Linked DNA regions of Canis lupus familiaris. The protein of the gene in region 1 purifies or fractionates together with the protein of each later gene. This does not show direct contact. Links are inferred from orthologs where the notes say so. Each region holds a gene or a part of one and is shown on either strand. Other genes may lie near its edges. The genes, in order: ANKRD17 and HOXB6.

Region 1 (2,480 bases):
AGAATGTAAGATTTAGTTTTAGAAAATTATATCCTCTATAGATGACCTGTATATTTCAAAATATTTTTTCTCTAGATTCTCCTGCACAGTCTGTATCCTCTGGAGTTCGTGCACCGTCTCCTGCCCCATCATCAGTACCTTTAGGGTCAGAAAAGCCCAGCAATGTCTCTCAGGACAGAAAAGTTCCAGTCCCTATTGGGACGGAACGTTCTGCACGTATCAGGCAAACTGGAACTTCAGCTCCATCTGTTATTGGGAGTAATTTATCTACATCAGTAGGGCATAGCGGCATCTGGTCCTTTGAAGGGATTGGTGGCAATCAAGGTAAGACATGCTATCCTGCCTACTAGAAATTAAGTATATGCATTTAACTAAAATATTGTAAGTAATAAGAACAGTCATTCTTAAAAGATCTGTATTCATATCTCTTAGTTTTCACTAACCAGTTTTGAGTTCAAGCCAATTTTTGTAATGTGATCTCCTGTTGAATTTTTAATTGTTTTCTGAAAATTATCTAATGCAAGTATATTCCTTCTTTCATTTCATCATATTAAGGAGATGCTAATTTTCCTTTTGGACTCTTTATCTTATGGCTTTTTTTCTTTTTAAAACAATATTTAGGTTATTTTATTAGACTACTATATCACTACCTACACACAAGGGAAATACTGCAGTAAATATATAAAATCAGTCATTATTCTGAAGGAATGTACAATTCAATGTGGAAAATTCTAGATAGAAATATACAAAATATTTTGCTATCTTCTGGTTTTAAAGATCACCAGCTATCTTTTTTTTTGCCTTGTTATTTTTCCTTAGACAAAGTAGACTGGTGTAACCCTGGTATGGGAAATCCTATGATTCATAGGCCAATGTCCGATCCAGGAGTGTTTTCACAGCATCAAGCAATGGAGCGAGAGAGTACAGGAATTGTAACTCCTTCTGGTACATTCCATCAGCATGTTCCTGCAGGATACATGGACTTTCCTAAAGTTGGGGTAATGGTGACTTAAATGGTGACTTTCATATTTCTGAATGTTTTTCTTCTTATTAGCTTCATTTTCCTTACAAGTGGATGAGTACTTGTTGAAATGATTTGCAGGCTTTAGCCTGTGATTGTAGGCCAAAATCTGGCTAAAATAGAATTATTGGTATATTGGAATATTTATATTGTGGGATATTTATATCCCACTTGTTTAGAGAAATGTTTTTTGGTCAAATATTTTGGCTATAGTAGGCCAAAAGAAAAAAGAAATCACATAATGGAAAATAATTTTTAGATAACCTAGATAATATACTTTTCAAAATAAGATGCAGTTTCAAATATAATTTTTAAGGCTATCAGTTATATTGGAAAAAGTAAGCAGTGACTTGGAGATACAACTATGTGCCTAATTTTTGTTTTCTCCTCTTTTAAGGGTATGCCTTTCTCTGTGTATGGGAATGCAATGATTCCTCCAGTAGCACCTATTCCTGATGGTGCTGGAGGACCCATATTTAATGGCCCTCATGCTGCAGACCCCTCTTGGAACTCCCTAATAAAGATGGTTTCAAGCTCCACAGAAAATAATGGCCCTCAAACGGTAAGTCTGATCATTCAGTGAACATTTCTTTAGTGTTTTTGAGATCCCAAGACAAATAAGACACAGATAAATCATGGTAGTGAGGAAGTATGGTGAATATAGGTAGTTGAGGAAATTTAGTATAGCTGAAATACAACAGAAGGATATGGAAAATAGTACCAAAGGTAGTGGTTGGAGCTAAAATTATAAAAGGTGTATTTCATTGGGACCAGATGGTAAGTAAAAAATATTTTAAATTACAAAGTGTAATTTTATACATCAAAATTTACTAGTGCTGTTAAAAGGGCCATCTAGGGGTTATTTATTATTAGTAGTATTATAAATGTCAGAAAGCCAAAAACTCACAGAAATGCTTAGTATATTTTAGCTTATTTTGGTGTCTGTTTAATATCTTTGACTCCTATTCCTTTAGTCATCAGTCTATATGTGTTGAGGTAATGGTTTTTAAAAAGCGATGATAAGGGTAGCTCCGGTGGCTCAGCGGTTTAGCGCCGCCTTCAGCCCAGGGCATGATCCTGGATACCTGGGATCAAGTCCCATGTCGGGCTTCCTGTATGGAGCCTGCTTCTCCCTCTGCCTGTGTTTCTGCCTCCCTCTCTCTCTCTCTCTCTCTCTCTCTCTCTCTCTCTCTCTCTGTCTGTCTCTTATGAATGAATGAATGAATAAATAAATGAATAAATAAATGAATGAATGATGATAAATCAGATCCTGTTTGAGAAATAAGCAACTCAGGAAAACAAAAGTGACTTATCTTTGTTTTTCTTCATTGTTGCTAAGTATGTTGCAAATTGAATGAGATTTAGCTATTTTAGCTCATAGGTATTAAGAGCACTTCCTTAGGTTTTAAGAGTTTTAATCAAATATATGGTACATGTATAATACTTAATAAAACATATA
Region 2 (4,393 bases), on another chromosome or scaffold:
GTTACCAGTACAGGAGAATTTTAGTCATGAGCTGAACACAACTTGGACATTTCCCTGGGAGATGAAAATGCGTGCACATCCACAGGAGCTCATATTCACAGCATAGAAAATTACAATTATAAATTCTGCCTGTGGGGTTTCTGTACAGTCCTTCTGTTGTGTACTCAAGACTTGGTACACATTTATGTTCACCTCTCTATCTACACACTTTCTCCATGAGGCTGAGAGAGACACCCCGGACTGGCAGACAGCTGTGCCTGCTGGGTATTTACATATTCCCCGTTGGAGACAGACGGACGGCAGTGGACCGAACTACAGACAAATTCGTAGAGATCTGGCTCCAGAAACCAGGCGGCCTCTGGCCGGGCCCTGCCCGTCTGCTCTTTCTCCCAAACAAACGGATCAGACGAATAAACGCTCATAAATACCTCTGGGCTTAGATAAGAGCGATGAGGCGCTATTTCCTTTCATGCCGGACTCCAGGCGCCCAGGCCCTGCCTTGGCGGCTCCATCTCACGACAGGCAACCTGCAGAGGTGAGGTTAATTTGGGGCTGTGACTCTAAGGATCAAGCAGTTATTTTAGTGCTTCTCATGCCCTTCCTTATGGCATCCTACTTAGTCCAGATTCTGTAGCAAAGCCCATACTGTCCAGTTCTAGGAAGAGGGCATTGTGGTCAGGGAGGAGGCAGGATGGTTGTGGTCCAAGGCCCAAGGTCTGTGGCAGAGAGGAGGGAGGTGCAGACTGGCACTCTCCTGATCTTGCCCCTCCCCTAGACCAAATGTTCTCCATTCCTCTCTAGGAATGGGCCCAATTACAGCTAGACTGGGGCACTTAGGATTCATCATTAGGATGCTTGAGTTTTCTTAAATCTTGATAACACCTCCTTAGAGTTTGACTAGGAAGTGGTTGGTGGGACATGCAGGGATAACTACTCGGCCATGAATTTATAGCCTAGAAGTTGTCCTGAGTTCAGGAAGCCTTGCAGGCCACTTTGCAATCAACCAGCTTCCTACTCTCGGGTCACCAACCTCAGCCCTCTACCACTTTAACTCGTGTCTCGTGCCATCTTCAGTGGACAAAAATCTGGCCCACAAGAAGGAGCCCAAAGGACAAGGCAGAGGAGAGTCAGCCTGGCCCCTTTATCATCAGATTTTGCCACACATTCTGGCTCATTTCGGAACCCAGGTCTGAAGGTTATCTCCCTTTAATGCCTGGCCTCCACATGCATAGTTAGATTGTTGAAAATATATTATGGTTCAGTCTTCCAGCTTGGCTTCAATGCTCATTTTCCTTACATGGTGGGGGGGGGGAGGGAGGGAGGGAGAAGGAGGGAGGGAGAAGGAGAGAGAGGGAAAGAGAGAGAGAGAGAGAAATGAACGGAGATGGGCACTCTTTCTCACATCCTAGCTTGTGCAGCAGCAAAGCTGGTGATACAAATATGAGATGTGGGAGGGACTGGAGGGATCCTGAGAGGCGGACAGAAGGGGGTTCGGGCTGATGGTTGTAAGCTGCCTGCTGAGTCCCCAGGAGGACCTGGACAGCTCTCCCTCCTTAGAAAACTAAACCCAAACCAATTATTGAGAAAGAATTCATTTTCAAAAGAACTGCCAGCTTCTAGAGAGACCTGGAAAAGGAGCAAGGGCCTTTCTCTTTCCGGTTGTCTTTGATTGTCTCAAAAATCAGGAAATTTTGAGGACCCAGAATTGGAGGAAGAACATTTTCTTCCCTGTGCCCAGGGGTACTGAGACATCTTTGATCCCTAAGAATCTGTAGCCCAGGATATTCTAGTGATTTGGGGCGTAGGGGGTGGGATGGAGCGAGGGTGGCAGGCAGGATCCCTATCCTAGACAAACCTAGGCTGGGGGATGCCCCTCACTCCTACTCTCCCTATGCCCCCAGCAAGCGGAAGAGAAGGCTAGCTAGTCCCTTTCCCCAGTGTCCCTTCAGGGGCCAAGAACAAGCATCACATGCTCCAACCAGGCAGGATGTCTTGGGCAGCTGAAGCAGCAGCAGCAGCAGCAGCCTTCCAAGAAGCTCCTAGTCTAGCCTCGCCTAACCTAGCCACAGAGCCAGAGGGAGAAGCTTGGGCTCAGACTCTCCTCCCATTTCCCAACCTCCTGGGTTCTCTGGGCAGCAGGCTCTGGCCTGCCCTTCAGCCGGTAAGAGCTGTGAAGAAGCAAGAATTATAAACCCAGGCTTGGAGGAGGCAGAGGAGAACTGAGAAACAGGAAAAACAGTTTTCAAAACCTGGGAAGGAGAGTGTTTCTTCTTCTTCGCCTCCCCTGAAAGCGATGCTAAATAGTGAACTCTTCTCTCCTACCTACAGAAAACCCTAGAAACAAGTCTTTCCCTTTGGTTCTCTCGTCACCACGCAGAGAGGGACGTTTAGGCACCCTTCCCTTGAGGGAAGGGGTCCAAGCAACGCAGGGGTTAACTTTTCTGAAAACACAATTAACTTTTTCCTATCCTGCGTGGGGAGGGGAGGGATATATTTATTTAATCACTGGGGGATGGGGTGGTCTCAATCCAAATGCTCCCTCCTCCCTCCAAGACACAGACGCCTCTTTCGCAGATCCTACGTAGGTGGAACAGGACGCGTTGTGTTGTTGGGGGGAGAGAGAGAGAGAGAGAGAGAAACGAGAAGAAGAAGGAGGAAAAAAAAAAGGTTGATAGGTTTGTGCGCGGGTCCCTCGCGCGGGCTGCGCTCCTCCTGGGTGCTATTTGACAATTCCTGCCTCTGCCATTGGTCAGTGTTGGATCAGATGGTTGTATTTCCTTCTGGCCCTCACTGGCACCTCGCCATCCCCCCTCAGCTAAAACCCAATCTCAGATATACTACTAATAGGCGCGGCGCTCGGACTATAAAACACAACAAATCATAAACCCGGCGGAGCAGCAGCGGCCGAGCGCGCCTCCCCTCCCAATGAGTTCCTATTTTGTGAACTCCACCTTCCCCGTCACTCTGGCCAGCGGGCAGGAGTCCTTCCTGGGCCAGCTACCGCTCTACTCGTCGGGCTATGCGGACCCGCTGAGGCACTACCCCGCGCCCTACGGGCCCGGGCCCGGTCAGGACAAGGGCTTTGCCGCTTCCTCCTATTACCCGCCCGCGGGCGGCGGCTACGGCCGAGCGGCGCCCTGCGACTACGGGCCGGCGCCGGCCTTCTACCGCGAGAAGGAGTCGGCCTGCGCGCTCTCGGGCGCGGAAGAGCCGCCCCGGTTCCACCCCGAGCCGCGGAAGTCCGACTGTGCGCAGGACAAGAGCGTGTTCGGCGAGGCCGAAGAGCAGAAGTGCTCCACTCCGGTCTACCCGTGGATGCAGCGGATGAATTCGTGCAACAGTGAGTGAGCCCTCCCGCGGTCCCCCACCCCCCGGGGCAGAAGTAGCGCGCCCCCCACCCCCGGCAGCCCCCAGGGTGCCGGCTGGGCATCTCAGTTAGGAGCTAAGGGAAGCCGGGGCGCCCGTCCCGGGTCTCCCGCTCTGTCCTCTCGCCCTCAGGAGTTACAAAGTTTGCAAAGTCCCAGCCGCACTGGGAACCAGGGGGAGCGAGTGGGCTCTCCCGGAGCGCCGCGCCAGAGCGCGATTCCGGGGCCCGGGGCCGGGGAGGGGGCAGGGGCCGCAGCCACTGGCGTGGCTTTCCCTCGCGCACCCCCCCCCGCCCCAGCCCTGGTCGGGTCCCCCCACCCGAAGACGGTTCCATTAAAAACGGAGTGCGTCATGGGAAGGGGGGCGTCGTGACGCTGGCGAGGGAGAGTGCAGTCTGTCCGGGACTGTGTTTCCCTGGGGGTTCGGGGCCGGGGAATGAGGAGGCACCAGGAAAGGGGTGGTAGTCAGAGGAGGGAGGGAGAATGAGGGGGAAGAACGGGAGAGGCAGCAGGCGGAGGGGGAGAGAGGGAGAAGCAGGCGCCTGGGTCTCAGGTTGGATTATTTGTCGGCCTTAAGTCCCAAATTGATGTCCATTAGTGGGACACGAAAGTGAGGAGCCGTTAATGCCGACTGTGGATCGATCCACGTCATTACGGATTAAGGGCTGGAATCTATCACAGGGTGGTGGGGAAGCCAGATAGATGGAAAGAAAAGATAAGGCTAGGAAGAGACACACCTGGCCGTGCTTCCCCGGCCCCTCCCCACTAGGCTCAGGTGGGATTTTTAAACTCGCCTCCCATCCCCCCACCAAAGGTCTAGACCAGAGAGGCACGGGCTTGGGAGGCCCAGAGGGAATCTGGAGGGGGCGCTGGAGGAGTGAGGAAGGGGGTGGGTGGGCAGGAAACTCGAAGAGTGGAGGGCATCCCGGGACAGGCTAGAGTCCATGTTTGAGGGTCGAGTGGGGGAGGGGGTTCTGGCCCTGATGACCCCAGGCCTCAGCATCTTCTCTCGGCGTAACAGGTTCCTC

What was found.
Region 2: the proteins of ANKRD17 (region 1) and HOXB6 purify together in Homo sapiens (co-immunoprecipitation; 3 studies listed by BioGRID and IntAct, with this or other methods). This does not show direct contact. The link is inferred for Canis lupus familiaris from reciprocal best matches to the Homo sapiens genes ANKRD17 and HOXB6.

Annotation. Positions count from the first base shown.
Region 1 is NC_049234.1:62,953,926-62,956,405, reverse strand, and holds part of ANKRD17 (ankyrin repeat domain-containing protein 17), read left to right. Parts: intron 1-75; coding exon 76-324; intron 325-819; coding exon 820-998; intron 999-1,418; coding exon 1,419-1,583; intron 1,584-2,480.
Region 2 is NC_049230.1:24,810,718-24,815,110, reverse strand, and holds the start of HOXB6 (homeobox protein Hox-B6), read left to right. Parts: upstream 1-1,325; 5' UTR 1,326-2,925; coding exon 2,926-3,340; intron 3,341-4,386; coding exon 4,387-4,393. UniProt on the Homo sapiens protein: Sequence-specific transcription factor which is part of a developmental regulatory system that provides cells with specific positional identities on the anterior-posterior axis.